Linked DNA regions of Neodiprion lecontei. The protein of the gene in region 3 interacts with the protein of the main gene of each other region in a pairwise test. Links are inferred from orthologs where the notes say so. Each region holds a gene or a part of one and is shown on either strand. Other genes may lie near its edges. The genes, in order: ubiquitin-associated domain-containing protein 1, intraflagellar transport protein 20 homolog, huntingtin and palmitoyltransferase Hip14.

Region 1 (9,036 bases), on a different chromosome or scaffold from region 3:
GGCTTCCGCGAAAAATGGATTGAAATAATTTACTGTAAACATGACAAGTTTGAAAAATTTCAAGATGAAATATAATTACAATTGCCATTAAATATCATAAAAATGTTATGCTCACCGTGCACAAATAGTAACATAGCTTTTTCTTATTGGTTGACACGAAAATAGTTGATTATAATTATTAATTTTGTACTATTATAGCATACAAATGGTTAAAAGCTGAAAGCAATCAATAATTATATAGCTAAATTTCGAGTAACACCGAAAAAAGGTCAATAATGAAATCAGATAATGGAGAAAAACTATCTTTCATGTCGGTTCAAAGAGGAAACCGGATTCTTCAAATGCTGCCATATGAAAAATCGGTAAAAGTACATATATTTTTTTTTTTAATCAATCAAATACGATAAGTTCCAAGCGAAACGTTGATTGTCGGTTATTTTTTTTATAGGGAGATAACTAACGAAGCTTTTTAAAATTTCGAGTGTAGTTCAACTCACATTTGGACAGTACAAGAAAAATTTATTTACCATCAATTGTCGCAAAATGGCGAAGTCATTAGTTGGTCATCGAAGCACCTCGTCGCTGGAATCTCGAATTGGCCGGAAAGATGGAGTGCGTAATTTTTGTCTGAAACGTAAAAACTAAAATTACTTCGAATTGACATATATTTTCATCATCGATGAACTAAGAAACTCATAAAATACGTTAAATCACATTCATATTCGTTCAGAAGAAAAAAATCGTTAAGTTTTACCTTTGAGCTCGACAATTAACACGAGATCACTGCCTTTTGGGTTATTTTGGTACACCGATAATAGAATGGTGCGCGAATTAAAAATAACAAGTTTTAAAACACTCGCTCGCTAAAGCTCGCTCGTGGTCGGATGCCTAGTGTAACTGATTTTTCTGCTCGTGCGCTCGCTTACTCGTTGTCAGTGTTTTAACACATAACACAGTTGTAGGGGAGACTGGGATACGATGACTCCCCAAAAAATTCTGGTATTGGCTTCACAGTATACAGAATGAACACCGTCTTCGCGCATGTGACGTAAACCGAATCTGCTCGTAAGATTTTTTCTATATAATACTACAAATCACGTTTACAGATGCATGTAAGTACAACGTATTGTGATTTTATGATAATAAATTTCCACAAAAAATACCACAGAACAACCAGCTAAGTGCTAACAGATCTGATACACTAACCACAGCAATTTTAGCTCTAATTGAACGACGTTATTTTCATCTATTCCTATGTACCTATATAATGCCAAACACTCACCAATTGCAATTTGTTGGTCCTGGTCGCTCGGTTTTTTCCGATTCAAAGTGTTATCTGAAACATGCATTTTGGTTTGATGGTACAAAACATGACGTTTTCAATAATCAAACTTGTAAACTTGAAAATTAGTCCGGAAGGTCAAAAGTCACCAGGTCAAGAACCTGGACAGTCAGAACTACGTAGCGCTTGTCCTGGAAGTCGAGTTTCAACAGGTACTGGACCTGGAGCGCAGAAACTACGGAGCACTTGTCCTGAAAGTCGAGTTTCACCAGGTAGCGGACCTGGAGCATGGAAACTACCGCGCGCTTCTCCTGGAACTCGAGTAGCACCAGGCAGCGGACCTGGAGCACAGAAACTACCGAGCGCTACTCCTGGAACTCGAGTTGCGCCACGAAACGGACCCGGAGCGCAGAATCCAGGAGGTAAAGAACCCGGTACTCGAAATCTGCGGAGCGCGATTCTCGTACGTCCTCTCTACCGCGCGGTTGTTTCCAGACTGAGGAATTCGGCTAGCTGATCACTATAGATTGAAGACGTCAAGAGAAAAAAAATTTTGACTTTCTGAACATCCGAACATCCAAACTTTGGTTTCGAACTTCAATACTATGTATGATGTATGATGTATGACGTATGATGATAAGATATGATGTATAATGATTTTAGTTCTTACATTTCGGACAAGAAATACGCACTTTATCTTCCTTGCCGATTCCAGACTCAATCGGCTAGGCCCATCGATGGTCAGCTGTTGACTAAAGATATATTCTTTAGTCAACGGGTCAGCTAATAACGCTGCCGTTCTGCGACAGTTGTATGATAAAAACTTTTGCTCGTACCTTTCAAATGTGTTTTAAAATACACTCGAAGTATTAAGAAGCTTCGTTCTATCTCTCTCTATCAAAGAAAAAAAAATCGCCGACAATCACCTTTTTAGGTCTTTAAAGCAGGACACTGCGTTAAATACTGTCTCATATACGGAGCATCCATGTCATCTCGATCAAAATTAGCGCATCCGTGATGTATTACAGTTACTCTGAATTTTTTTCCCATACGAACACTTTTCGAAAAACGAGTCTGCTTCTCTACCAAACGTAGATACTTCAATTGCGACTAGCTAAAACAGCGTTTCGATTCTATGCCTACGAAAATTCAAGATCGAGAGAGCAAATGAAAAGTTGTTGGAATAATTATGAATATTAATGGCGGTTTTTGGCGCGATTTTACAAGGCCACAAGGACCCAAGCTGGATTATGACAATCTGAGTTGGCAACACTGTTTAAACTGCGTGCAAATGGCCGCCGTTGCGGGCAAACGTCAAAATAATACGAACGGAAATATTCAAGGTAAAATAACGACTACCAGAATTTTAAGGTCAAGGTATTTTTATTGCCATCGGAAGTAAAAAATTTAGCGTAATCGTGTTGCACTCGCGCTGTATCCGGAATATGTCAACTTCGCGTACTTGAGCACTCTAATCTGGCTTAACCTAAATCTTTCATATTGAGAAATGAATAGTCAGTTATGGATTAACGATTAACTCTGACTTGACGACGATGTAAAATAACACTCATAAATCACCTAATACTAGAACTACCCTGTGATCAAAGACACGTGTATTCGAACGCTGCTTTAAACTCCCGAAAAATTGGACAACATACGTATTAGTTTTTTTATTGTCCAGGGCTACTTGATGTTTCCATGGATGCGTGGACAAATACTGGAAGCCTGGAGTAGCAGACGGAGCTCTCGAGAAGCCGGGAGGCGCTCCTCGGCTCTCTCTTCTGCGGACCCAGGAAATCCCTCTAGAAATTCAGGTGTTACAATGTTTGTGTCACCACAGTCAATCCCTGAGAGTTTCTCAGTTAACATTATCAGGTTTGCATTTCATTACCTATAAAAAAAACCATTCGACCATGCACTCTCGTACTATGAAGTTATGAAAAAGTGTACTCTACTTCCTTTCGGTTTAAAAACAATATTCTGAAAATCAGTGAAAAGCCACCATGTGCGTACAAGTTGCCACTATTTCTATTATCGCTTTATATTACATTTGAAAGAGAATAATATTTAACAAATACTACATGAGAAAATAGATAGAATGTAATAAAAACAAATGTGAATTTAAATTTTCTTAACCCTCTGCCGTACTTTGACGAATCTGACTCGTGATACATATTTCGTATCAAACATGAAGATCACGAGTCAGACACGTAGACTGAAGATTAGGCTCATATTGCAGCTGTTTTCAGCATCACTCTAGCCTATTTAGCGCGCATCGTCTCATATTGCTTGGGCTCAGATCTTGCCGAACTAAATGGTACGGCGAGGGGTTAATATCCATTTTCTCAATTGCCCTGGCGATTTTGAATAGGATTTTCACAGTTATATAGAATTAAGTATCAGAAAATATTGTATATAATAATATCATTACTCAGGTTAAAGATATTAAACATTTAACTAGTTACTACATTATTGTGTAGAGAAGTTTTGGTGGTTGTATTATAAAGTTCACCAATTTTAAATGTCGAGCAGAATAACCGCTATGTTTAATGTACCCAAATTTGAGAGATTACTTAGGTACATTCGTCATGTTCAAGAATGAAGGAACAGATCGTAATCACCACAATAATATTTTCAGTTTGGAGGGCCATGTGTTTGGCATCAACATCAAGCCAGACTTTACTATAGAAAAAATTAAAGCAGTCGCAACTAAACACTTTTATGGACAAGACACATCAAAGCCTTCATCATGCTTTAGATTAGTTCATGCAACAAAACTAAAATCGTTATCTGATGAAAAAAAAGCAGAGGAAGAGGGCATTGAAAAGTTTGGTGAGTATCGCAAAATTTGGAAGTAAATTGAATAGGATATTGCTAAAGACGTAAAAAAAACGTGTGCAACAGAAGTGATACTTCTGCAATTTATATAAGTGATTCACCATGGCTTCAACAACTCGGTAACAGAGAGAGGAGACTGAGGATAGGTAATCCTGTGTGTAGTTTGCGTTTCATAACAGTGCTTTATATAGTGGTACGTGTCAAAACATTACGTTTCATAGCAGCACATTTCATTGCAGTGCGTTTCAAAACATCGCGTTTTACAACATTCTGTTATTATCCCTGCTAAAGAAGTTTCACTTCAATAGCAAAATCGAATTTTGGAAAATGATTGAGGCTGGTTCAATGTCAGTTTCCTTCGATGATTTCTGGTGATTTTTTGTTTCAGATGAGTTGCTGATGGTTGAGATCCATCCAGTTATAATAAAAGAAAATCTAACAGAAGAGATTCTAAAAGGACCCAGTGAGGAGGTGATAGCTCGAATCACGGCAGGACTTCCAATTAAAAACCCATCACGACCTGCGCCCAGTGCCGATTGCCCAGCTGATGTAAATATTTCATAATGATAAAATATGAGTTTTGTAGTATTGTTTTATTCTTAGAAAACTATGTTTTATTAGAAAGATTTTGAAAAGTTTATCGAGGTAAGAAAGTGTGCTAATAATTATTAGGCTAATGATAAGTATTGAGTAAAATACAATGATTAAACGCACAACATGGACAGTTTCAGAATGAAATAAGAAAGATTCTCATCACACTGGTCCAAACTTCTGCAAAGATTTTAAATCATAGTCCTGAAGCAGCTAAAATTTATGAAGTAATTAGGGAAAGATGGGAGACCAGATGCAAACCGCCAAATGATCCCAAGTCTGTTAAATATCTCATGGATATGGGCTTCTCGGAGAAGAAAGTATTGAAAGCTCTACGGCTCAGGAAGTAAGTAACATTAGCATCATTGCATGAATGTGCAAATTTCTTTTCCTTACTTGTTTATTCATCATTGGTAAGGATGAATACTTCTGAAGCACTTGAGTGGCTCATAGAGCATGGAGATGATCCAGATGAAGAAGATTTTGAGCTACCATCGTTAGACGCGAGCCTAGATGTGGATACAGGAGGACCTAGTTCCTCAGGAACTTCGGGCAGAAGGAGAAGTCTCAAGGAAGCATGTGTCGATTTATTCAAAGGAGGTAATGTTGCAGTTTAGCTAACTTGCTCAACTTACGACTGCTTTATGGCATGTACTCTTACCGCATAGGCAAGTTGAATTTAATACGTTCCTCTTTACCGAAAATTCGCTCTGATTAAGTCTCGAGGCGATAATTTATTCAGAATATGAATATTGTCCTCAACTCAATGCTGGGTAATTATTGAACAGGTAGTCAGAGTTCCAAGAGAGAGCCAAACTTGATTAACGTCGTCGCTCTGCTGTTAGAGTCTTTTCGTCAGTTCAAAAAACTCGATTTCAAACCAAACACGAGGGTGATATCCTCACTTCAAGAGATGGGGTTTGAGGAGAAGAAAATCATAGAAGCACTGAAAGTCACTGGAAATAATCAACCAAATGCAGTACGTTGCTAGATTTTCTATTCTACTATATTACTGAGTATTTTAAGATTTTCATCAATTCTTGTTTAACCTAAAACATTCGAGAAAAATTAGTAACAAATATTATTGACACTCAACTTCAATTTCATAACGATTAAAACATAGAAAATGATCATTGGCATAATTGTGATTTTTTTTTTTTGTGTGTCAACACCAAAATGAGTTTTAAATTCACATTAAATGTCAAAGCAAAAGCAGATTTTTTACCATCGATGTCAAATTCTTCAAGAGTTGTTTATATTTTCAGTGCGAATGGCTCTTAGGTGAGAGACGCCCTAGCTTAGAAGATTTGGACGAAGGCCTGGACCCTGACGGGCCAATTTATAAAGCAATTATGTCAAACCCTCACATACAACTCAGTCTCACCAGTCCAAAAATGTTACTAGGTGAGTCAAAAAACAAACGACGTTTTCTATGAGATTATATTCGAGAGTTACTGAATGCCAAATACTTGAGAATAAAATTTACACCTTTCAGCATACTTATCGATGCTAGAGAGTCCAATGTCAGCGAATATCTGGATAAATGACCCAGAAGCTTCACCAGTGTTGAGCCAAATTTTCAAAACCTACCATGCGGAAAAACATGCTATTCACATGAATCGTTTTGTTGAGAGCTAACAGTAGCAGAGTATAGAAACTGTTTCAGAATCACAGAAAAAAAATGAAAAAAAAAAAAGAATTATAATGCCTAGTACAAATTTAAAAAATTTTAAATATAATTCATGATACGTTGAAGATAAGTTACTGTTATTAACTGCCTGGCATGTTAAAGTTCATTCTAGTCAATATTAAAACAAAATATAAATTATCGTTAAAGTATTTATGCTATTCGTTCGTTACTTACTCAGTAGCAAATAGTGATATGTAATAGTAAAAAAGGTACTATCATTGTGAGGAAAGTATATAAAGTGCTTGATATTTATTCCTAACGATATTTAACGAATTTTACATGTAATAATTGCTACTATTACGCATATGAAATGGTATACAAACTATTATGTATACTCGCGTACACCAACAAATATATTTTTATATTAAAATGGGCCTTCAAGATCTAGTTTATATACCTATTTCAATTCAAAATGGCATGCATAATTTTAAACTATTTTTTTCGAGCGAAGTTCAATGTCGAAAGAAAACTTTGTTAAACGCTGAAGCAAATAAACTCTGTCTGAAATCATTAGCATTTACTCAGTTCCCGGAAGTGCATATGCATACCTACTTGTGCCCTATCTTTCAGCTACGACGAATCATTTTACGGAAAATTTGTTATTGGCAATTCTACATACTTCATTGCGAGTCGGTGTACATTCGATTAAACTAGGTGCAAGGAACATGTTGCGAAATATAAATTTGTTAAAAACGTCCATAATACACACCGGAAGTGGACGTTTTGAATTCAACAGTTTTTCTTCACAATTTGAATTGCCATATCGACCATGTTATCAATGTTTCCGAGATTTTTTTTCCACTTTGGTCTCTTCTTTTTTCCCAAAACGCTGTTCCAATTTATTTTACTTCTCATCATTAAACTTTTACTATTGATAATTCCTGGTACAATATCAACATCTTTGGAACCTGTGTCACTTATTATATTGACCACCGAACTTGTATCCACTGTGTCCATCGAATCCAACTGCCACGGTAGTATTCCAATTGGACAACTTCCCCAATCAACACTTTTTTCTACGAAAAATAAATTTGTTTTACAGTTAACTGAACGAAATATGCCATTTTTCCTATAGTTAGATATTCTTCTGGTGGTTGGGTTTAAACTGAAATACTAATTCGTAGTTGATAAAATAACTGTACCTTTTTCAAGTATCCAGTTTGAATTTCTGGTTGTTAGATCTGCTATTTTAATATTATCTTCGAAATTGAACTGTTCCAATCGCTCATCACTTCTGATATTTTCATTGATATGATCTTCAAACAATGCAGTAAAATCATTGATGGTTTTGACATTTTCGTTACCAACTAATTCAGTCTGGTCTTCAATATTTTGCCCTGCTGTATAAATACTGATAAAATGAATAAGATTTTCCCTGACGTCATCCCTTATGCTGGGTGTTATCAGTTCCAAAAGTGGTTCAACGAAATGATTAGAAAATTTGCTATTCAGATTAGAAATGATTGTTCTAACAAAATCTATATCAGTCAAGAAACTGGGAATTTCACCTAAGACATTTAGCCATAAAATATCTCTAAGTTCGGGAAAGTTTCTATCAACTTCGTCTCGAACTTTGAGAGACAATATGGTTGACGAAGTTCTCCTCCTTTTGTTTTCTCCGACATGTTCCAACCTATGTTTGATTTTGTGAGCTAATTTTATTTTGCACAGACTAGACGCTATATATTTCATCCACAAAGATGCAATAAGATGCTTTTGCTCATTCTCTGTCTCATCATTTATCAGTTCCAATAGCCGCAGTATTAGTTTTTGTAAAATTTCCTTCTCATGTAACATTGTTATAAACTCTTGCCAAAAATTGATGAAACGTGATGGAAGACAGTTACAGTTTTCAGTATCTGAACTTGATTTCTTTCTCCTCCCAAATATCTCAAGAAATTCTTCGCTTGGAAGGAATGCTTCCCCTCCAAGTAGAACATTCAATATAATTTCGTCTTTATCTGGTGGAAATTTGTTTTTGCTCAAATATTTAGATATTTGACACAAAAGATTGCTTTGTTCTGCTACCAGTTCGTGTTTCTCATCATCACAGGGATCAGTGTCATTTCGAGTTTCTGTATTGACGTCAATATCGATGTATTCTGTATTTTCGTTGTTTGGCAAGATCAAAGCATATGCTCGTAAATTACTCAACGTTTCTCTAACAATAAAAAGAATAACAAATAGAAGATATTTCACTTTATATCTAATGAAATCTATAGTCACCAATTATTCCTGTAAACTTATTCTCTTACCTTAACTGTGCATCAGGTATGTCTTTTATCGAGGTGTAACCAGCATGGATATATAAACCAACTGCGATCCACAATTCAATTAAATCCGTTAACGTCTGTGCTTCTTCTGGCTCATTCTCTTCTTCCGCTTGTTTAGTAATGTTATCTTCCATAGCTTTCAATTCTGTTGCCCAATATTCTTCCTTCAAAATGTAAAACAGAATCAAAATAAAAATTCCTTTCATTAGCTGAAGACTGGGGAACCTGCACTCAGAGAATACTGTTTCTGCAAGGCGAATCCACCATTAGAGTTATGTGACAAATGAATTTCATAATCATAACTGAACCTTCTTCTAAAAAGCCGGATAGAAAATGGTTAAATTCGTTCAATGTTTTCCAAA
Region 2 (8,087 bases), on a different chromosome or scaffold from region 3:
GGTCTTCCTGAAAGGTAGCTGATTTTATTTCTTCTTTACCATATTCCAGATACAAGTGCTCGGCTCAGAGATTACGTTATACAGACATGTTTGAGCATTTTGCCATTTTTCACTTCTTAGCAGCTACTTCACGTGTATTGCATATTTTCTCTACCCTTAGTGATGACGAAGATGATGATACAGAGGATGTTGACAATGTTGATGACGACGATGACAATGATGATGATGATGACAGCGATGAAGATGACATGGACCCTGATGATGACGACGATGAATGTACCATGGATATGACAGAAGAAGTAATAACCTGAATGTTTTCTTACAAATAAGTCTTGATATTTTCACAACTCGTCTTAGAAGTATTCTTACGTTTGTTTTGTTACCTACGTTGCCTTTGAATTTATTCAATATGCACAATTTGAGAATGTAAATTTGTTCTCGTGTATTCAGACCGACTCATTGTCGCTGATTTCTTTCACCTTATAGCCTGGCTCAGATAGCGGATGTACCGCAGTAGTGGCTGTACTAGCAGGACGGGAGTTGTATGTTGCGAATGCGGGAGATTCCCGATGCGTTCTTTGTCGTAACGGGCAAGCTGTTGAGCTGAGTCTTGATCACAAGCCTGAGGATCAGCCGGAAATGCAGAGAATCGTTAAAGCAGGTGGAAAGGTTACTGCAGATGGCCGTGTTAACGGTGGTTTGAACCTCTCTAGAGCGTTAGGAGACCACTCCTATAAGCAGAACGCAGCACTTCCTCCTCAAGAGCAAATGATCTCTGCTGAACCAGACATTAAAACAGCTACAATTGATCCTGAACAAGACGAATTCATGGTACTTGCCTGTGATGGAATTTGGAATTTCATGTCTAGCCAAGATGTCGTGCAGTTCGTTAGTACCAGATTTAAACAGGGGTATGAGACTATTTCTCAAATTTGCGAAGAGGTAAGTAGATTGCGTTAACTTGAAATTCGGTACTCGTATATTTTGTAACAATGACGTCAATTTTTTTTAACCCTTAGTGGCCATGTGGGGTAACTCATTACCCCACGCTGAAAATCCTAGTTGTACAAGACATATGGGTGTTTTAAGACTTCTAACTGATTGTTTCATATTTGTTGAAGAGTTCTTCAACATTTCTAATGATTTTTATCACACTTGTCTACTACCGGCAGATGTCATTACTTGTATCAATTCCAAAGGTTTTAGACCTCTAATTTCACATCTTCTAAGCCTGGGGTAACTAGTTACCCTATGTGGCCGCTAAGGGTTCAACTGAGAACTCTCAGTCTTATATTTCATGCTCACCCTGTCACAAAGCAATAGCTAAATAACACATGATAATTTGTAATCAGATAAATGTCAGTATTGCTATTTCGTTCTTGTTGATATTTTACATGCTAGAATTTATTCACGGTGTATGGTATAATGTGATCCTTGGAACATTGTAGCTCTTTGACCATTGTCTTGCACCGAATACTCTTGGTGACGGAACCGGCTGTGACAATATGACTGCTGTAATAGTACGTTTTAAGAAGCCAAGTGCTCCGATACCATCTACGACCGAGGCATCTGATATGACATCAATCGCAACGGAGAATAAGAAAAGACCGGCATCACCAATTCCTTTGGCAAACGAAGGTAACATATCCACAGGTGAAGAAACGACGCCAGAATCTAAGCGTCAAAAGACCGAGACTGTCTAGGAAGTTATGCTAAGCTTCACTAACGTATCTCTGCAACCTCTTGAGAGTGACACAATGATAATAATACGGCCGTTGTAAAGTTTTGGAAATCCTGCTGTGTGAAACTTGAATTGCAAAAACGGTAAAAAAAATAAAGGTAAAAACCGACAAAAACTGTGGACTTAATAAATTGAGAAATTGGCGAAATTCTCAGTATAATAGTTATTTTATGATTGAACATACACAGAACGAACGGATGAATGATGAATAATAATAGTAATAGTGTAAAACCGTCACGTCTGGAGGATTGCAATAATCGTTAGTGTTGAACAATGGTGGCAGACTGATTGATTGGAGCAGATTGGGGGCTGACGCTTATAGAGTTTGTTTTAAATTTTTTTTTAATGAGACATTGTTAAATAAATCTGTTGCCTTTCGAGTTTAATGGGTATCTGAGGATCAGAAAACAACATAATATGTTATAGCTTCAGTGTCGCGGCATATTAATATATATGATGCGTGCATGGAACATTTGATTATCGCAAACCGTTGTGTGAAAAAGATGTGGCAAACTTAACGAGAGGAAATGGAATTAGATTCTCCTATCTGCTCCAATCTACTCTTATGATGTGTACTCAACTGAGAGTTCTTCTAGGTTACAGGTGTAATAGGTATGTAACTGTACATATTTATAAATCTAGGATGTAGGATTAATAATAATATTTGTAATTCAATACGACACCATTTCTTATTTTTACTAAATAAAGTTTATTTTTGAATTCCTGGTTACTATATGGTTGTATGGATGGTTGCGTGACTATAATGTTATCTAGTTTAATCTATTTCTCATTATTATTATTCTTATTATAATTATCATTCTTATCATTAATATAATTGCCCTTGACTACGTGTCTACATGAATTAAGTTCAGTGCTGGTAGTAATGAATGAATACTGTTTGCAGTAAATCTTTATGATTATTTTTCTCTTTTAAAATAACTTTATTGTTATAAGAGAATGAAAAAATATACGTTATGTACATTTTTTTTATCTACAAACGTTGATGATGATGATGATAATAATCCAATCTTAATAGGTCTAAGTTGTTGACGTAAAATACAATTTTTTTTCTGTTCTTCGCTTTGAAGCGAAATATGAACGATGTTTAACAATCCACTCGATCATCGAATAAATTGCGGTTCATGGCATCTACTGTAAACTACAAACAAATGAAAAAAAAATAGATAAAAGAGAATCGCCTGTTGTTAATCTTGAATGTCAAAAATTAAATACGGATTGAAGTATTAAATTTGACCGTGTATGTAATAATGAAGAAATGCTCAATAACGAGTAATATTGAACAGTTAAGAGAGGGAAGGCGATCCTTGAACGTGTGCCTTTTCAAATTATATGTGGTGCAGTATGCAGATAGGTTAAATAGAGCCAGTAACCCAAAGCCCGTTTATTTCCGTGTTTAATTATTATGTTATAATTTTATGTAGTCCGTACGTATGTATATATACAGCAATGTATATGTATACACACGCACGGCATACACATCTCGCTATGAGTTTTTCCTTTAAAAATAATTACATCACACATGATTTATGTAATTTTGGGAGAAAAAAAAAAAACTCGTCAATTATTCTATCTATTATTATTCATTGTTTTGGATCTTAATTCCGTTTCTCTTCGTTGTGTAATTACTGTAATTTATCTATATGCTCAGCCCAAATACCACCCTCTTGTATTTTTCATTAATTACACCATCATAATATTGTATACACCAGCTGATAACAGTGTTTATAATTGTATGCTACAATCCTCATTGAAAAAGTCACACGGAATAAAGAATATGCATAAAGGAAATAGAAGATAAATATGAATAATGCCGATAAAAAATTTTAACATCAATTCGCGGTCAATTGCTCTATAGTTTCTAGTTGTTCCAGTTCGATTTTTTTCAATGAATCGTACTGCACCCGTAGCCGCTCCAGTTCCGTTGACTTTTCAATTATAAGAGCCTAGAAATAGAACAAAACACACGCACCGCGTGTTTAGTACATTGTTGTCGTTCGTTGCATACGATAAAATTAATGGTAATGATTGAAAACTTTAATTGTAATTCATGATGTACACCTGAATTTGCTGTCTCTGTGCATCTCTCTGTTTAGCGACTGAGCGCAACAAGTTACGCGCCCCTATAGTCCGCATCTTTTCTTTTTCGACTTCATTCGCCAAATTGTCGACGATCTGAATGAAGTCGTCGGAACTCTTTTGGAACTCTGTTATTTCTAAAAATTTTACCCAGGATTAGAACAATAATTGCACTCGTACTTTATGCTGTACTCCATTCGCTTTCTCGCTCGTTGCTATACGGGGCTATCGAAACGGTTCCTACGATAAATCAATCCATTTTCTTCGGAAAAAAGGACAACCGTTAAATCCGTCGTAATTCATAATGTACAATTTCTATAATGCATTCTACTTGATTCAGTTTATTTTTACACCAGCTCTAATCGAACTTCGAAGTGTGTATAAGGCTAAACATATACGCACACATCAACTTTTTAGTCTGCGTAAAATAATAAAGATGGCAGTCTGCGCGATTTACAAAGTTATAACAAGCAAGGATATTCGTTGATAACGAGCGCGTTGATGGGAATTGTATTTTAATAAACGTCTCGAGGGTTGTGAAATAAATTTTAATAGAGGTAAGTGAATCGAATAAGATTTTAATAACAAGTATATTTTTCTGTATTGATGTTTTTATTATGGACGATTTTAATTGTGTGCATGTGCCATTGGAACCGCTGTCAATCGCTGTCACGCTGATTGATCCCTTTTGTGCTTTTATATCTGCTTGTCACTTACTGGAAACAAAATTCTGACACTCCTCTTTCAATTTATTTGTTTGATTCGATATTTCTGGCTCCAGTACCCGTATCTTGCTCAAATCATCGATGAATAACCCATATTTTCCCAGCGAGTCGGCCATTTTCGTCAAACAGATGTGATTCATGACGTATGCATGTGTATATTGCAATTGCTTTACGCGCAGGTGCCGGGCGAGTTAAGGCGGTACTATGCATTTTCTTAGCCGACCGATAATCTTCCTTCATTACAATTATCTACGACAATTAAGCTATTGCGCGTGTAAAGGAATGGTGAAGTAGACAACATGTATAGCGAAAAGCAGTGAAAGTTTATAAAACCTGCTCAAAACTTGGTTTTCCGGCATTCATAACGGGCTATAATTTTCGGGTGCTGGTCGGTTAAGAAAAACGTCAGCCGGCGTTTTATCGATAACGTTAAATTTTCCCTCCCTTTTGAATGCGCCAGCTAGAAAAAGACAACACGCTTTGTCGGTATGTCAGTTGACGATGTCGGCATTGTAAAATGCATATTAGCCGGTGTAGCTCGCTGTTAAATTTTGTTGAAACACGTATCATCATAAGGCTGACTCTCTTCGTTAGGATATCGTTACCCAAGCCTGTTAACACAAGCGAGTTACACTCATGCATAATGCTCGCATACATTCTCATACGCGTATCATATTCACGTCTCCAACATGGGGCAAAACATATAAATAGTGTTTTTTTTTTTTTTGGTTTATTAAAAGGAATTTTTGTTTAGTGACCATGAGAATATCGAATGAATTGTGCCGCGGATAAGAATTTAATACAATTCGTATAATTAGATAAGACATAGGAAACCATCACGAGGTCGAAATGACTCGATTTGGTTTACAGTGATTATAACCTAAAATCACATCGTATTAAATTCGCTGTTATTGTTGATCAGCGAATCCAACTTGTATTTGTAAATAACCTTAGTTACGCAGGTTTTAATAAAATTTCCGGTCTATTAACAAGCAACGATTCTGTTGCTCATGTCTTAAATGTTGAGTCTGACGCTCGATACAATTAACATATCACCATCATCGTCATCATCCGCGGCCGCGTTAATACCTGGCGGCGAAATCGTTATGTCGGGGGATCACAAAACTGTCATGAAAGGAAACCCGTCGCAGTACGTCAAATTAAACATTGGCGGTTCCCTTCATTACACCACCATTGGCACGCTCACCAAACATGACACTATGTTGCGAGCTATGTTTAGCGGTCGGATGGAGGTTCTTACAGATTGCGAAGGTGAGGAGCCGCTCATGCCTCTTTCCAAAAGGCAATTCCAAATGAAATGGTGTACAAATTTTAAAATCACCCAAGTTCCCTACTTTCTTTTTATTTACTATTATTCGTTTTCACAGGCTGGATCCTAATCGATCGGTGTGGCAAGCACTTTGGCACGATCTTAAACTTTTTGCGGGACGGTTCAGTTCCGCTACCTGAGAGTGTGAAGGAGATGGCAGAGCTGCTGGCCGAGGCAAAGTATTATTGCATCGGCGAGCTGGCTGAGTCGTGCGAACAAGCGCTCCAGCGGAAGGAGCGGGAGGCTGAACCCATCTGCAGGGTTCCACTTATCACCTCCCAACGTGAGCAGCAACTCCTTATCAGCAACACAACAAAACCTGTTGTTAAATTGCTGATTAATCGTCACAACAACAAGTACTCTTACACGAGGTAGGAGACAGATTTAAACAGCTTGGCTTTTTTCGCTTTTTAAAATTTTTTTTGGAAAGCAATCATATGACCCATTCGTTTCTATTTACAGTACATCAGATGACAATCTTTTGAAAAATATAGAACTGTTTGACAAGATGTCGCTCAGATTTAGCGGCAGGGTTTTGTTCATTAAGGACGTAATTGGGTCGAGTGAAATTTGTTGCTGGACTTTTTATGGACATGGTCGTAAGGTTGCCGAAGTTTGTTGTCATTCTATCGTCTACGCGACAGATAAAAAACATACAAAGGTAAAGATAACTTTAGGCAGAATTTAAATTTCTAACTTGAACGAACATTTTTTTCTATTGCCGTTGCCAGAAGCTGAAGAACAAATAGAGATTAATTGTTTGTGGAATCACAACACCAGTAAATACCAATTTTTATGGAATTTCACGTCTTCTACAAACTTTGTCTTAGCCAATGTTGTCCCATTTTGACTTAGGTTGAGTTCCCGGAAGCGCGTATCTACGAAGAGACGTTAAATATCTTACTTTACGAGCATCGAAACGTACCTGATCAGGAATTAATGCAGGCAACATCTTCACGTGGTGCTGTGGGAGGAGGGCCTCCTTGCACTTCAGACGAGGAAGAAGGAGAACGATCGGGACTTGCCCGACTGCGATCAAATAAGCAAAACACTAACTGACCCCATCCGAATCACCTGATGTCACCCCAACCAGCTATTCTCAATGTAGTTCGTTCATTCAAAACACGAGCCAACAAATAACCTACGAAAACGAAAAAAAAAAAAAAAACAACTGTTCATGAAAGAACAGTCTTGTTGTTTGTACAAGCGTTAATAGTAACTTGCGATTATCTACACCATACTTCCGAATCGCGTTAATTTTTATCGTAATTTTATACTCTGTAACATCTGTTGACCACATTAGGGTTCCAGTCTAAAGTGCATCGACCAGTTTGTATTAAACTAAATATCTGTTAACGAGGATTGAACAAGGCTGCCACATAAGTGTCGCAATAGTTGTCTAGATTTCGTGAAGTTTTCTCCTTTTTTCAATTTGTACTTGCATATATTGTTAGACTGTTTGACGCATGATTCGGAGTATTTACTGCCAATGAAATATGTTTGTATATTGAAAGGGAGTGCGAGAGTGAGAGTGAAACAGAGATAGAGAGAGGGAGTAAGAATGTGTGTCTGTAGAAAATTAATGGCGCTAGCCAGCCCAGGCTTTGAAAATATAGAACGTAATTCGTTGACGTTTAACGTATTTTAATTACTATTTTGAATAGCGAAATCAGATTTAAAATTCATTATTTATTTTTTTAATGTACTTTATTACATTGATTTACAACATTCCAATGATTGTACAAATCTTTTAAGCACTGCGCCCTCCTTACACAATCATTAGTATCTGTTGAGCATGCCGTGAAACATGGAGCAATGGGTACTTATTTATTAACTGATCATTTCATTTCAAAACCATTTTTCTGAGCTTGTGCTGGCTGTTAAAAAGGGACCATAAGCGTTAAACTTCCTTTGGGCCAATCTCGCAAACAGCTGATATTTTTTCTTTTTTTTTTTTCCTTTCTACTGTATTCGAAAGGTTTAAATCCGTTACAAAGTATGGGGGATGATATATTGTTATTTAGTTAGCAGATACATCTCAAGTCTCGATTGACAGGAAACCTAGCTCTTTTCATAAGTACGTACCAAGTTTAATCTGAAACTAATTAAACGGTCCTGATTGTGCCGAAGGGAATGGAGCATGAAATTGAAACAAAAGAGGAAACAGATGAACTCATTCTGAAGATTAAATTTT
Region 3 (7,859 bases):
ACTATATCGAATTGGGTGAGTAAAAACTTTATTCAAAAATATGGAGAATAAAACATTCCTTGCAAACGTTAAGGAATTTTTATAGAGTTGCGTGCGATAAACCACAACAATATAATTAGTAGTATCAATCCACAATCCATTCACATGAAGAAAAAGTTACAAGCACAATCAAAAGAAAATAAAAAAGATGTACATATCTGAGCATGCAAATCAGGTACAAATGTGTAGGTGCTCATGTAATTTGGTTACATTCACTGTGGTGGGCCGATCGGATTCATCCTGAAATTCGGTCTGCTGCAAGTTTTCACCTACAGATAAGTTACTAATAAATAACGACAATGGAAATACACAGAAATGTGTCACACACGATTTTTCTGTAACAGAGCACTTTATAATCTGTAGGTAATTAACCGCTTCGACGACATTGACGCAATAGTGCATCACATCAACGTGTCTTTATGCACACTGAGTTTTCTCTGACCTAAAAGGGATTAATAGTTTCAGATCTTACCAAATAACGTTGGGATACTGCCTTTTCGTAAAGTTATATAATTTTTACTTTTCTTCTGAAAGCAAGAGAGTTCAAAGTGGTCGGAACACAGAAAGCTATCACTTGATGGAGACCACGGACCAATGTTTATATTTGCGATCCACTGCTTCATAATATCAGGTTCATCCAATGGGAACCTACATAACAAGCAAAGTTTAAATTTATTAATTCACACGTTATGTTGCATTGAGTAACGGTACTTACTTGAAGAATGAATAGCCACGTCCATATTCCCTTAATCGGTGACTAGATGAACACTCTGATTTTGGGTTGTCAAATATAGTTGGTACACTGTTCTTTTTCAATGTAATTAGGAATCCTGTCCTATCAAAGCAGTCATTTGTAAAATGAGCCGAACACAATGTGCTATTTCGGTTTGGCTTCCAGTCCTTCCTCTTCATTTCTTTTAACAACTGCTGAAGGCGCAACACATCTTTCACGGGAAATCTACATATCGAATTATAATTTAATCCCTGAGTCAATAATACCCGAGTTTTCAATTTCAATTATAATAAGATCGGTTCATAATTCAAATATTGTGAATTTTTACTGACACGATTCGTACGTTATAATACTCGTTAAATATAATTAGTAAATACTTCGTATGCTGACATAACCTCTGCAAGTTATCATTTGCAGAACGCTTCAGCGTTGTATACTCACTTGTGAAATGATCGCCCACAATATTTTGATTGCTTTGTTTTGCAAAAAACGCAGGTACTCATTGTTACCTCAATAATTGTTACTGTAATTTTCCAACACAATCGATTATATACACATACATATATCACGTATATATTTATATATATCTGAAGTGACAAGAATCTGTACAAAATGGCTACCGTTCAATTGGCGTGACGGCACCACGCTTAAATCCAATCCAGTGTATATATATATCAGTGGGTTGGACCGGTTCGACTCCCTCTACTTGTGAGATGATCGCGTCCTAATAGTAGAAGTTAGTGGGATTCTAGTTTCATTTTTAGCCGCAACCTTGGCAACATCTAAGGTTCCGACCATGGTCTTAGATCGTGTTCGTAAATTGACTGACAGTACTGAAAATTCCCTACGACAGAGTCAAAGCTATTCATGAACTTGGAAGCGCAAAAGAGATGAAAAATTGCTGACAGTACTGTCAGTCAATTTTCGAACACGGCCTTATAGACACGTCTGGGTACTCCAGGGTACTCCGGCTGTAACTCCGTGCTCGAAAATGAAACCGATGTTGTGAATTTTCGCCGCTAGCGCTAGTGAGGAAGAGGCCTACTTAGGGCGTGTTCGGAATTCGACTGACCGTACTGTCAGTACTGAAAATCTACAGTAGACGTCACTTGGACTATACCATTTTCAGTACTGACAGTACTTTCTGTCAATTTCCGAACACACCCTACATAGAGATCAGTGTACTATACACAGTAGAGATCAGTGGTGTTTACGGTTCCGGAGGCTCCGTACGCGACAGGTCAAACCTGTTTCCGTCTCTCTCACACAGCCTGCATCTCTCTATTGCAGCGACACTCGTGGTCACTAGGCGAAACGATCGGTGCTTCAATAAGAGGACACCCCCACCACTGAAATTTTGACTGAATTGCCAGACCCACGGTCTTACATACAGGTCTTGCGACTCAATAGAATTCCAATGGTAGAGAGTGGCTCCTCTATTGAAGAAAAATCCAGATGGAGCTGCGATCGAGGGATGCATCAACATAACCTACAATGTTTGAGTAAGCCTTTGACGATTGACGTGCGTGTTCCGTATTGTGTTTCGTTCACAACACGGTCAAGACCGTGTCCTTGTCGCACCGGGCATCCCTCGATCGCAGCGACGCTAGCGGCTTGACACGTTAAGAGGCCCACGTCGAAACTCAGAGTCGCAAGACCTGTATGTAAGACCGTGATACAAATTATCCAGCATGAACTATAGAATCCTTTCCGAAAGTAGATCTGTAATGTGGAACAATACAGAGCGCCACCTAGAGAGTATATCAGGGACACGACACTAAACCACTGTAGATAAATCAATTCACCGGATGATTCTGTTGGGCAAAACAATTGAATATCAATCCAATAGGTAAAATGATGAATACATCATTTTAATAATTAAACCATTTAGTCCAATAGCATCCATACCAATTTTGGAAATGAAACGTAACAATGTACAAAACATCAACCTTTACAAAGTCAGTAAGATTTCCAAGGAAGTGTCTAATAACGCCTCGAGGGCACGCGCGGCATCCAAGTTTATACCTATGTTCATTGCTGGGTAGAACGGCAACAAATAGATTGCCAAGTTCGTTCTCTTGATATCAATACATTCATGACTTTCATGCATCAATTATGGCCATAGTTATGGAGACTAGAGATAAGGAGTCCGAACGGAATGCTAGCCAAATGGTCGGTGAAACTGATGAACGATCCGCGGATTGTAACCGCCTGGTAGCGCTACCACTGCGGGCTTCGGCAGCGCGGTGATTTTGAATCGTCGATCCTCACGTATGTATTCTGGGTATGTTCCGATATACACTGCGAGCACTGTTCAGTGCTCTTACTGGGGAGAAATTCGTTCCGTTATAGACTGACAGTATACAGTCGCAGTATCCTAGGGAAATATATGACGTCATAAATCGTCGCCATTTTTCTACTGTGAACACTGGTGCTTTCGAGGTAAGGTGCTCTCAGTGCTTTGATGACGTGATCAACAGCGTTCAGAAATTTAACAGCTTCCACTATTGATAATTATTATTATTGAATATTGTCATTTAAAAATATCGGCCGTTAAAAACAAAAATGGAAAATTTGAATAAATTGTGTTTATTGCAATGTGAAACAAATATTATGTATGAAATGAAAGTAACGCCAAAAAATGTCGATCACAGTATACTGTACTGCGTTCCGTTTTAAGCAGTAACCAGTATAGCTAACTATACAGGAACGGCTTCGCAGTATACTAAATTGACGACACACCTTACAGTGCTCGCAGTGTATATCGGAACATACCCTTTATTCGTAACCAGGCGCTGGTATCTCTTGCGGATACATCCCGAACTACAAGCTCTTTCATCGCTTTCACGAACCACTTTTCGACGATTCCGCCATATGCGTTCGGATTCCTTTACTCTAGTCTCCATGGCCAGTTTTATGCCTATGTGTATGATTGTGGCACCTGTCACATTAATGTCGGCTGTTGTTATGTTTAGCATTTTAAGGTAGATCACAAGTATATGAATTATTTCCAATATGTTAGTGATTAACAGCGGATGTGCTTGACGAATGATAAATATCTACGTATAATAACGCATAAAATATCCATTGACAACCATGGCTACGATTAACGGAATACTCAAAGCGGTGGATACATTGAAAAATTTGCAACTTCAAGATACTTCCCACGATTGTGCCGCCAGGTATTTTCATTATATGACTTTAAAAAATAAGCACTATTCAGCGTTTTCAAGCGCACTTCATGCACGTAAAATGCATACCTACTGTACACCCGTCCGTATATACGTCTTTTATGTAAACTTCTATATTGATTTTCGCGTCACAGATATGCTTACATGCGATTAGAAGTATTGGAGTTTGAATTGAGATTTCATCTTCCAACGAGGTTATGTCAACCAAAATGACAAATGTCCTTATTGTTTACAGAAAAAAAGAAAAAATCGCGTACTGCACTACTGTGGCAGACGGCATATGCTCTTCTGCCGCTAGACTCACTCCAAAATTTTCTCAAGTTCTTAACGTCGCTATAGAGACGCTGCTAATGCTTTGTGATGACTCGGAATCAGATGTCAGAATGGTTGCCGACGAATGCTTGAACAGGATAATACGAGGGGTATGCTGAAAATTTTAGTATACATTCGATGTAAACATATTCAGGGGATACATCATTAAGTTGTACCATCTTTCAACTTTGAAGCATCTTTAAAATACTTGTCATACTTTAGGCAAAATGTACAGACCCCAAACCATATTTTGCTTCCCATATTTGCCTTTAAATATTTTTAGGCTCTATGGGATACATGCATTTCAGACTTTGACAATTAGTTGAATGATTCTGTCACCCTCTAACATCAACATAGTGTCCAGCTCATTCGGAATAACTGGTAAAAGTTGAGAGAACAGTTAGGGGTAGTCAGTTGATTTTGGCATAACGTTGTCTAAATGATAAAGAAAGTAATTATGCAGGCTGATCCCTATACAGAGTTTTGAAATTAACTGTAATGACAATGATTTCAATTGTTAGCATTAAACATAAATATTAGATGAATAAAGTAAAAGGTTCTGAAATTCAATGATTGTTTACATTTCATTGTAAATGTGAATTTTATAATGACTCACGTCATTCCATTTATTACATTTTATAATAAAAATTCAGGTTCATAAAATCTCCATCAGTTGTTGATTATGATAGAAGAAGTGGAATAGTCCTTTGATCAAGTTAGTCAGGATTATTATATTTTACTGGAATCTTGCAGTAGAATTTAAAAAACGATTAAATTTAATTTTGCATTGTACGGTATACATAAGGTTTTAAAATTCTAAGAGGAAGTTAAGGAATTTGAAGAATAAGTTATTGCAAAATGAATAATGCTGTTATCGAAGATTTTGCATATTATCCAGTTGCATTGTGCAGTATTTTTACAAACTTTCTTGCCCAATGGTGAAAACGACTGAAAATTAATGATAAAAACTACAAGAAATTACTGAATTTGCTAGGCACCGAGGCTAAGTATATAACGAATTAATTCTGCTTCTATTTGATAATAGTTCTTCTTATTGTCAGGCTATGACAGATGGCAACATAGTGAAGGTACAAATCGTGTTATATTGCGAAATAAAAAAGAACGGTACTGCCCGAACATTAAGAACTGCACTATGGAGGTTCGCGCAGCTGGGGCACATGATCCGGCCGCTGAAAGGAAAGGCTTACGTGGCAAATCTGATACCTTGCATTGTAGCTATTGCTCAGCGTTCCGAAGAATCTGTTATCGAGACACTAGCCAATTCTTTACCATTGATTTTGAAAACTCTGGGGAATTTTACAACAGATAGCAATGTGAAGGTAAATAAATTGAAACAAAATACGAAATTTGTTCATCTGGATACTACGCCATATTTAAATGAGTGTGTTCTTTACTCACATTTAGCCTTAGCAAATTTTAGAAAAAAAAATCTAGACTCTCGTCACAGAATAAAATAATCAATAAACGCGATTGCTGTGCAATTAATAATCGGCGATTCATCTCCCATTCATATAACACACAATCTATATGGTGCTGTAGCTCATGTGTTTGAACCCGTATTAAACACAATGGCGAGCCTCTTTTCACATCAATATTTTGAATTGTCACCCAATTTCAGAGTATGCTTATCTTCCAGTAGATTAGACATCGCTTTATTTGCGAAATTGGCTTCGGTATATGCTATGAGGCCGACAGGATGTTAAATTGTCCCGTTGAACATTTGGTTTTCATGATAATTATAATTTTCAGACTCTACTCAATGCATTCTGTCAAAACATACCTTCAACACAGGCTGTATTCCGCAGAACAGCAGCTAATATGATTCTTACGACTTGCTTGAACTCTCGAAATCCTCAGGCTTTCTTATTGCACGTTTTACAGTATATGATAGGTGAGGAAGATTTTTTAATCACCTAATTTGCGTGTGACACTTTCGCTTCTAGATCAAACTGTAGCATTCTATGCTACATAGTCTATGAACCTTTGAGGCCATGAGTTTAAAATTTGGAATGCTAATGTAACAAATACACAGAGAGACAATTTAACAACCACAATCATTCCTTCAGCCTTTGGTTGTTGAAACAACTAAACTTTTTACCTTTGATACGCTGTTACATTAGCGCTACAAATTTGAACCTTGTATTTTCATCTGTGTTGTATCAAAATAAGGATATTATTAATTGTTAGGAAGTTTACCCTCTCAGAATCCTAAACGGAACTTACTTATCTCTTGATTAGATACTCTTGTGCCAATAACTGATGACGAAGACCGTGTTACAACGGTAATTGGAGTATTTGGCTGTCTAAGGATAATAATACCTCATATTGATGAAACATCAAATTTGAGCCAACCTGACGTCCCCCTTCATAGCTTTATACAGGTGTATGAGCTATGTCTACACTTTGCCAGGTGGCATTCCGATCACAATGTCGTCAATGCAGCGTTGGAGACCTTGGCTCAATTACTACAATTCCCTTTAAAAGAATTGGTTCCGATCTTGGTTTCCTGTCAAGGGATTACACGGAGCAGGATAGCAATGAATGAAAATACAGCCCGCCTTTCTTTGGGACCGATGAGTGGTTCCAATGTAACAATATCTGGAAGAAATTTGGATTCGACATTAAATCTTTTCGATCCAGATATTCCTGAAATTAAACCAACCGTAGAGAAATGGATTGTTGATTCGGAGAATGTATTACCAGTGATTCAACGACCCCATATCAAACAAGCCGACACCAATCAAGTCATAGGGAAAAAGGAAAAGTCTTTGGAGAATTACAGCAGCCTGATCATCGGATCTCTTGACAGTAAGATTATAACGATTTAATAGACACAACTAAAACAGCGATTGTGCTGGCGATGTAGGAATAAAAATGATGTTCGTAGCATGATAATATAATCTCATACATTTGTGTGTTTCTTATGTAATGCATGTTGAAGTTAGAATATTACTTCAAGGTGAGGGAATCGAGGAAGAGAGCGACACTGGAAGTGATATTGGGAAGGCGGAGCGTTCGCCTGATCTTAGTTTGCCGAGTTTACAATCTAAAGAAGACGAGTACTTGGACGAGGTATCATCGTCCGTAACATCTTTGCATAGAACATCGTCCGGAGTTCTATATCACGAATGTGACATAGGAATGTTCACTGACGCGGACGTACCACTAAAATATTGTTGTCGATACTTGGTGTCGTCGTTTCTGCTGACTGGAATTCCTGGTCAATTGATACCTGACAAAATGTTTCGAGTTAGCGTTAAATCACTTGCTCTAACTTGCATTGGTCATATTTTACGACTTTATCCAAACTTACTTTTATCAACAATTGATAAAACGCCGAATAGCAATGCAGAACAACAATACATCAGCGATATATTACTTTTTGCTAATCATATGGATCCTCAAATAAGAGGGAATGTTGCCATGGTAATTGGATATTTTCTGAAAGCTGTTTTCCTTCAATCTGGTGATAAATACAGAAATATGGAAATATTTCTAAGGTCGACCGTACCTGATAGAATGAAGGATAATATCTTATCGTTAGAAAATCTTACAGCGCTACT
Region 4 (7,958 bases), on a different chromosome or scaffold from region 3:
AAAGTTACAGCCAAAAAACGAAAACCTGAATTTTCGACATTTTTCAGCAGGTGCTTTTTCCTTCGTAACTTCTCTCCTGTTGATCCCACGCGCTTTTTGCTGGGTTTTCTGGGTTCCTTGGGGTTCAATTGATCGGGAAAGAGTCATACGAATCAATTCTGAGACGAAAAATTTTTTGGTGAAAAAAAAAGGAAGGTTGACCCCTTTGTATTTTTGGCGAAAATTTTCGCGATTTTAAAAAGTGCTGGAATCAGGTCTTTCTGGCACTATTCCGACGTAATTTCGCGAGAGAAATCGATTGGGCGCAGTCCCAATACGCTGCGATCAACGCATCAAAAGTTACAGCCAAAAAACGAAAACCAGAATTTTCGACATTTTTCAGCAGGTGCTTTTTCCTTCGTAACTTCTCTCCTGTTGATCCCACGCTCTTTCTGCTGCGTTTTCTGGGTTCCTTGGGGTCCAATTGATCGGGAAAGCGTCATACGAATCAATTCTGAGACGAAAAATTTTTTGGTGAAAAAAAAAGGAAGGTTAACCCCTTTGTATTTTTGGCGAAAATTTTCGCGATTTTAAAAAGTGCTGGAATCAGGTCTTTCTGGCACTATTCCGACGTAATTTCGCGAGAGAAATCGATTGGGCGCAGTCCCAATACGCTGCGATCAACGCATCAAAAGTTACAGCCAAAAAACGAAAACCCGAATTTCCGACATTTTTCAGCAGGTGCTTTTTCCTTCGTAACTTCTCTCCTGTTGATCCCACGCTTTTTTTGCTGCGTTTTGTGAGTTCCTGGTGGTCCAATTGATCGGGAAAGAGTCATACGAATCAATTCTGAGACGAAAAATTTTTTGGTGAAAAAAAAAGGAAGGTTAACCCCTTTGTATTTTTGGCGAAAATTTTCGCGATTTTAAAAAGTGCTGGAATCAGGTCTTTCTGGCACTATTCCGACGTAATTTTGCGAGAGAAATCGATTGGGCGCAGTCCCAATACGCTGCGATCAACGCATCAAAAGTTACAGCCAAAAAACGAAAACCCGAATTTTCGACATTTTTCAGCAGGTGCTTTTTCCTTCGTAACTTCTCTCCTGTTGATCCCACGCTCTTTTTGCTGCGTTTTCTGGGTTCCTCAGGGTCCAATTGATCGGGAAAGAGTCATACGAATCAATTCTGAGACGAAAAATTTTTTGGTGAAAAAAAAAGGAAGGTTAACCCCTTTGTATTTTTGGCGAAAATTTTCGCGATTTTGAAGAGTGCTGGAATCAGGTCTTTCTGGCACTATTCCGACGTAATTTCGCAAGAGAAATCGATTGGGCGCAGTCCCAATACGCTGCGATCAACGCATCAAAAGTTACAGCCAAAAAATGAAAACCTGAATTTTCGACATTTTTCAGCAGGTGCTTTTTCCTTCGTAACTTCTCTCCTGTTGATCCCACGCTCTTTTTGCTGCGTTTTGTGAGTTCCTGGTGGTCCAATTGATCGGGAAAGAGTCATACGAATCAATTCTGAAACGAAAAATTTTTTGGTGAAAAAAAAAGGAAGGTTAACCCCTTTGAATTTTTGGCGAAAATTTTCGCGATTTTCAAAAGTGCTGGAATCAGGTCTTTCTGGCACTATTCCGACGTAATTTCGCGAGAGAAATCGATTGGGCGCAGTCCCAATACGCTGCGATCAACGCATCAAAAGTTTCAGCCAAAAAACGAAAACCTGAATTTTCGACATTTTTCAGCAGGTGCTTTTTCCTTCGTAACTTCTCTCCTGTTGATCCCACGCTCTTTTTGCTGCGTTTTCTGGGTTTCTTGGGGTCCAATTGATCGGGAAAGAGTCATACGAATCAATTCTGAGACGAAAAATTTTTTGGTGAAAAAAAAAGGAAGGTTAACCCCTTTGTATTTTTGGCGAAAATTTTCGCGATTTTGAAAAGTGCTGGAATCCGGTCTTCCTGGCACTATTCCGACGTAATTTCGCGAGAGAAATCGATTGGGCGTAGTCCTAATACGTTGCGATCAACGGAATAAGAGTAACAGCCGAAAAACCGAAGACTTACTGCCTACTTTTTCCGCTGCTCGTCCTACGGACCTTTTGCTGCGTTTCCTGAGTTTTTGGGGTTTTAATTGGTCTAGAGAGCTGCGTCGCTATCGATCTCAAGCTGAAAATCTTTCCGCCCCAAAATGGAAGACAAAAATCAGGCCTCTGCAGTTTTTTGGTCTCTTTTTTGACGATTTTGCAAAATGCCAGAACAAATCTGTTGAGGCCCTATATGGACGTCATCCTTCGAAGGCATTCGATTGCGCATAGTCTATCGGGTTTTTCCAACGTCTGCGAGTTAGACAGAAAGGATATTCGTTTCAATGTTCGCCGTATTCACTAAAATTACTTCCACGAGGCTAACGGAGAAAACGTTATTTTTCTCCGACGGAAATTTTTAAGCGTCGGTACGTCAGTCGTCTATCGGTTACGATATGTCGGCTACCACGTTGACCGTTGACGTTAACTGATGAGATACTCTAAGTAACCGCGCGATGCAATATATTTTCAGCTCCCAGAACCATCGTTAACCATCCCATAGCTCATTATACTTTTTGAGAGCAGAGATGGATTCCCATAAGAATTCCGAAGTGTCCCGAACGGGCGTTGAAAACCAGAGATCCACAGAGAGTGTCTGGCGAAGACATATATTTTCTGTCAATCTAGTGAGACTGCCTCGAGTTCAAGCCGGAGGGCAATATATATCAACGCTGGGTATCTCCAACAGTGGGAGGACTACTTTCAGTTGCATCTGATATAAAGTAGACCGGCCGCGGTGCGTAAGTTTCATACTCGGTTTTCTACGTCATTTAATAACATGATAAATTTAAGAGTCCAATGCACGTGACGGTTTCGATTATCATTATCACCAAAGTAAAATTAGTCAGCACCCTGTTGTAATGTTGTATTAACGATTACTCAATAAGCGTTATCTCGCGACCGCTCCGAAAGTCCGAGTAGTGAATCTTCTGCAAACAGCAAACCCGGGCTTTGGTCGACGAGAAAATCGGCCGAGTATCAATCCTGTCATCGGGACGCGAAGTTGGCGTGCCACATACCGGCGCCCCACCCTTCGGCAATCAAGTGTTGTCGTGAACTTGGTTTTGTATCTAACATTGCAAATCGGGATTACTGACTATGGACGATCTTCGACGGGGATCTCTTGACTCGTAAAGTGAGAACTCTCTAACTCGAATCCATCCACTGTATTGATTGTATGTCAGAAAAATCAATTCGTTACCGTCATTTTAACACCGCCGAGTGAGCCACATAACCTGTGATTTGTCTTATACAGTGGTGCTTTTGTAGATATTTCAATTCAAGAATGTGCAGTGATTGTGACTTGAGGTTTCGTTCAACTACGTAACTAATCACGTGTATTTCGTTCTGAGTATTATACAAAAAATTCAGCATGTATGCCCTACAAATGCAAACTGCCTGTCAGGGCGAAGGCAGTGGTGAACCGGAAGATCCAAGTAGTATACAACAGGAGCCAACGCGTCCTGCTACTCAGGATTGTAGCGCGTACGACATTGTCAGAGCTACACAGGTAAACAGTCACTTGTATAACTGACGTATAAAAATGTGCATTGTTAGTCAATCATTAGAGAGATTATCAAAATTCAGTCAGATGTTCTGTTTATTTCGATAGCCAAGAATATAATATATACTTATATACTTGATAAAATATTAAACCACTTGAGAATGTTTATCAATATATCTGACTATTATAATAACATTCAACACAGTATGGCGCTTTGGAGCGAGTTACTGAATTAGTTGAAGCTGGGGCAAATGTGAATCAACCAGATTCGGAGACTGTTACTCTCTTGCATTGGGCATCGATCAACAATCGGAAGGAAATTGTCAAATATCTTATTGCCAAAGGCGCTATCGTCGATGCAATCGGTGGAGAATTAGCCTCGACTCCGCTTCATTGGGCCACAAGGTTGGTTTTTGATCAACAACATTCTGAAAAGTAGAAAGTAATCTCATTCATTTAATAGTTTTCACTCAATACTATATCAAAATTTTTAGGCAAGGGCACCTACCAACGGTCGTATTATTGCTAAGAGCAGGTGCTGATCCTTCTTTGAGAGACTCGGAAGGATTTTCATGCATTCATTTGGCAGCTCAGTTCGGTCATACAGCTATTGTTGCATATCTAGTCGCAAAAGGAGTTAATCCAAATATGCCTGATAGAAGCGCCATGACTCCGTTAATGTGGAGTGCATATAAAGTGAATAGGTATGTAAATCTGAAGATTGTAGATTTCTTATTGATAATAAAATGTACATTTACAAGGTACACGCTCAAAATGCTTTACAACATCCTGTATATAACGACAGGATGATCATTCAATAATTATATCTTACAGTCTAGATCCAACCCGATTGTTATTAACCCTGGGTGCATCAAATTCACTCACAGACAACCTCCATGGTAATACAGCCTTGCATTGGGCCATTATAGCAAAGAACAACACTGCCATATCAACGTTAGTTCACAGTGGGGCATCGTTAGATGTTCCCAACTTTCAAAATGAAACACCTCAAAGCTTGTTGAGTCCACATATAGGAGCAGTGTGGCTGGGTCATAAGATAAGTCAAGAAATTAAGGAGAAACAAGGACGCACAAGAGCATGGTGCAGAGACAAGGTATAACAATTTGATAATCCATTCGCACCACGTGGAAAAGTACGGCCAATGAAACAGTCAAAGATATTTTATTTGTACAAGCCACTTTATGGTAACATAGAACATAAACAAGCTTTAATCAATAGTTGGGTGGTTATTGGTATACGTAGCACAGTGAATAATTGTTGGAATAAGCATCGTGAGCTATAACTATATGTGATATATCGTAGTAATATTATACTCTCAATTAGACTAAATTTGTTTCCCTCTTTCAATTACAGTGAATTATTGTCATGTGAATGATTTTATTTGTAGAAGGAGAGGAACACAGGGAAAATTGATGAACTCTAAGTGATCGATATCGATTGTATTGTAATATGCTCTTGTTGAATGACACCTACATTGCATGAAACTCGATTACAATTTTGAACCATTCTTTTTATACCAGTCTAATAATCCTTGAAGTATCATTGATAAAAACCGTTGCCTAGTAATTCTCGATGTATTATGACAACTTGATGACAGTTATGAAATTTTTTCCTCAGTGCTTAGTAAATTACAATAATAATTGTAAATTAATAATTTATATGGAACGAGGTACATTAGTTTCATATTATTAAAAACCTTATAATGCCTAAAATTATTATTTTATCATGATTTTCAGAGAGTGAGATGGTATTGTATGGTCAGCACTCCGTTCTTCGTGTTTTACATCATCGGATTAGTCCTCCAAAGTGGATTTGATTATTTAGCAAAATTAGGTGCCTTCCTCACCATCTACATAGCCGTCTACTTGGCGAATCACTTTCTGTTTGACGAGCGTCTTTTTCACATTTTGCCCATGTCAATATACCTGGCTACAAAGGTGAATATTTATATAGTAATCAAAAAGTCATCAAATATATAAATTAGAATACAAGTCTTTGACCAGTCAACTATTTAAAGAATGTAAGTTCAGAGATATTTCTAACAAATTACAGATGTGGATATATATAACATGGATATTTTGGCTGGGAGTACATGCAGCCTGGTATCTGTGGTTCATGTTAGTTGTTGGATCCGTACCTTTGTGGACATGCTTTTTAAAATCATGGAGGGGAAATCCAGGAGTGATTACAGCAACGCATGAAGACAAATTAAATGTATGTACTGAATATGTTTGATGTTTGCACGGGCGAAATTCACTTGAAAACTTATACTCAACATATGAATAGCTAGTTCATTTTATCAGGCTAGAAGAATTTTTTCAAACGAACTTCCATGTCATTAATATAAAACGTACTTTTTTTCTACAAGCCTAAGTTGTAAGTTATACATATTTCAGACAATTATTGCGTTGGCAGAATCTGGTGGTTTTGAACCGCAATGGTTTTGCAGTAGTTGCTTGGTTAGAAGACCGATGCGCTCAAAGCATTGTTCTTCTTGTGATCGCTGTGTTGCTCGATTCGACCACCACTGTCCTTGGGTGAATAACTGCATTGGTACGTGTACGATGAAGTTTACCAAAGTTTCAAAATTCTTCATATTACACGTTGTTTCCATTAAAAAATTTCATCCTTAGGAGCAAACAATCATAAATATTTCCTTGGATTCTTGGCATCTCTACTAGCCTTGTGTATTGTGGTTTTGTCAGCAAGCGTACAATACTGGCAGTTTGAGTGTTGGAGTAATCTCACAAATGGCCATAGTCCAGATAATTACTTGGTATCAGCAGCTACTTGCGACGCGTGGGTAGCTTGGGTATCTGCAAATACAGCACTTCATTCTTTTTGGGTAGGAACGTTGTTGGCTTGTCAGTGCTACCAGGTAAATAATTCCATTTCTTAAGGTTTTTTCCATTAATTTTTTGAACCATACTTGTATTGTGTACTTGGATTTCGTAATGGAAATGTTGAATGAGTTAATTTTTATCCTTAGATCATGGTCCTGGGTATGACGACCAATGAACGTATGAACGCAGGTCGTTACAAACACTTCAAGCAAGGTAATCCCTTTCACAGAGGGGCAATACAGAACGCTGCTGATTTTTGTGGGTTAAGCTTCTGTGGTGTTAAAGCAAAGCCGAGCTCAGACTGGTTGCACAGCTTTGATCTCAAGCAGAGCATAGAAAAATTACCTTTGCTTGCGGCAAAAGACAATTATCAATATGTATAAGGATATTGGATAGCTAATACGGTATATCTCGTGTGAAGATTATTGGCATTGTTATTACGTTATCACTATTGGAGTTATCAGATTTTGATACGCCGTTTCACTTGTTTTTATAGTTAATCTGTAGTACCAAAGAGAGTTACTATGTTGAAATAATAATGATTAAGTGACTTGATAAGATTGGATGGTAAGCAAGGAGCAAATTGTGTATCTAAACACATTCCTAGAACTTGAATTAAAACAAAGAGAGTTTTCAAATTCCATTTAAAATCGCTAATGTAGACTGGGACGAAAAAAAAGTACTACAGTTTTTTCTTGATGATCAATTGATCTCTATACTTGCTGTGTAACAAATTCTTTCAGTTAATAGCCTTTGCAATTAGCGTTTACTTACTAGTGTCGTGTTTGAATTTTGACTCTAAATAAGCCGCGATACAAGTTGAATATGATAAAACGAGTCTCAGCTCGGCACTAGATGCAGCTACATTTCTCCTTATATCTATATGACTAATAATTGTATTGAATCTTCTTACAAGTTGTATCACAACTACTGTTGTTGCCGGTTTAATTTTTATATTATTTTGTAACATTTGTTGGTGATTCCAAACCAGTTCTAAACAATTTGCCCACTTAATTCTACCATTATTGTAAACTAATCGAAATTCCGAGTCATGGTCTGATTTGTGCAGAGATGCCTTATTATTAGTACGCATTTCAATAAGAAAATTCATAAAGTATCTTGATTGGCGATACATTGCTTATTGTTCTTGAAGCGCTATTTGCTCGCCTTGTGCCATTACTTGCGAAACATTTTATGATTATATATACAGGATGAGGCTATATACAGCATTGCATGAAAGCTGAAGATACACGGCTTTACCAACATTAAAATATAGCTATGTACACTGCCTGCCAGTGTATTGATATTGATTGGCAGTGTATGTAAATAACTTCGATATTTTTGCAAATAATTAACGTTAACCAAATTGTATCCCGTCAACATAACTGTATCATTTTGTATCGCTCGACCTGTATAAATAATTGTATCACATACCAAAAGCAAACATAAAACAGGCCCCTTTATGCGATAAAAGACTTCTAGAGAAAAAGCTGACAGTTTTTATGCTTTTCGCGAGTACATTGTGGTATC

The links.
Region 1: the proteins of huntingtin (region 3) and ubiquitin-associated domain-containing protein 1 interact in binary tests that used the Homo sapiens proteins (3 or more experiments, as listed by UniProt). The link is inferred for Neodiprion lecontei from reciprocal best matches to the Homo sapiens genes HTT and UBAC1.
Region 2: the proteins of huntingtin (region 3) and intraflagellar transport protein 20 homolog interact in binary tests that used the Homo sapiens proteins (3 or more experiments, as listed by UniProt). The link is inferred for Neodiprion lecontei from reciprocal best matches to the Homo sapiens genes HTT and IFT20.
Region 4: the proteins of huntingtin (region 3) and palmitoyltransferase Hip14 interact in binary tests that used the Homo sapiens proteins (3 or more experiments, as listed by UniProt). The link is inferred for Neodiprion lecontei from reciprocal best matches to the Homo sapiens genes HTT and ZDHHC17.

Annotation. Positions count from the first base shown.
Region 1 is NC_060261.1:28,608,466-28,617,501, forward strand, and holds ubiquitin-associated domain-containing protein 1, read left to right. Parts: upstream 1-2,972; coding exon 2,973-3,157; intron 3,158-3,920; coding exon 3,921-4,114; intron 4,115-4,508; coding exon 4,509-4,669; intron 4,670-4,845; coding exon 4,846-5,057; intron 5,058-5,107; exon of another isoform or gene 5,108-5,129; coding exon 5,130-5,311; exon of another isoform or gene 5,312-5,499; coding exon 5,500-5,690; exon of another isoform or gene 5,691-5,976; coding exon 5,977-6,115; exon of another isoform or gene 6,116-6,206; coding exon 6,207-6,349; 3' UTR 6,350-6,471; downstream 6,472-9,036. Other genes in the region: uncharacterized protein LOC107225833, read right to left, coding at 7,131-7,417, 7,544-8,562, 8,657-8,838.
Region 2 is NC_060264.1:1,961,813-1,969,899, reverse strand, and holds intraflagellar transport protein 20 homolog, read right to left. Parts: upstream 4,689-8,087; 5' UTR 4,680-4,688; coding exon 4,556-4,679; intron 3,976-4,555; coding exon 3,821-3,975; intron 3,706-3,820; coding exon 3,592-3,705; 3' UTR 2,093-3,591; downstream 1-2,092. Other genes in the region: probable protein phosphatase CG10417, read left to right, coding at 1-14, 161-299, 487-942, 1,449-1,703; BTB/POZ domain-containing adapter for CUL3-mediated RhoA degradation protein 3, read left to right, coding at 5,583-5,835, 5,952-6,264, 6,356-6,554, 6,749-6,952. UniProt on the Homo sapiens protein: Part of intraflagellar transport (IFT) particles involved in ciliary process assembly. May play a role in the trafficking of ciliary membrane proteins from the Golgi complex to the cilium.
Region 3 is NC_060262.1:8,087,451-8,095,309, forward strand, and holds the start of huntingtin, read left to right. Parts: upstream 1-3,660; 5' UTR 3,661-3,868; coding exon 3,869-3,954; intron 3,955-4,198; coding exon 4,199-4,385; intron 4,386-5,320; exon of another isoform or gene 5,321-5,336; coding exon 5,337-5,615; intron 5,616-6,045; coding exon 6,046-6,187; intron 6,188-6,534; coding exon 6,535-7,104; intron 7,105-7,255; coding exon 7,256-7,859.
Region 4 is NC_060265.1:1,407,332-1,415,289, reverse strand, and holds the start of palmitoyltransferase Hip14, read left to right. Parts: upstream 1-2,687; 5' UTR 2,688-3,432; coding exon 3,433-3,570; intron 3,571-3,769; coding exon 3,770-3,969; intron 3,970-4,058; coding exon 4,059-4,268; intron 4,269-4,398; coding exon 4,399-4,678; intron 4,679-5,321; coding exon 5,322-5,522; intron 5,523-5,637; coding exon 5,638-5,799; intron 5,800-5,981; coding exon 5,982-6,138; intron 6,139-6,218; coding exon 6,219-6,463; intron 6,464-6,574; coding exon 6,575-6,811; 3' UTR 6,812-7,958. UniProt on the Homo sapiens protein: Palmitoyltransferase that catalyzes the addition of palmitate onto various protein substrates and is involved in a variety of cellular processes.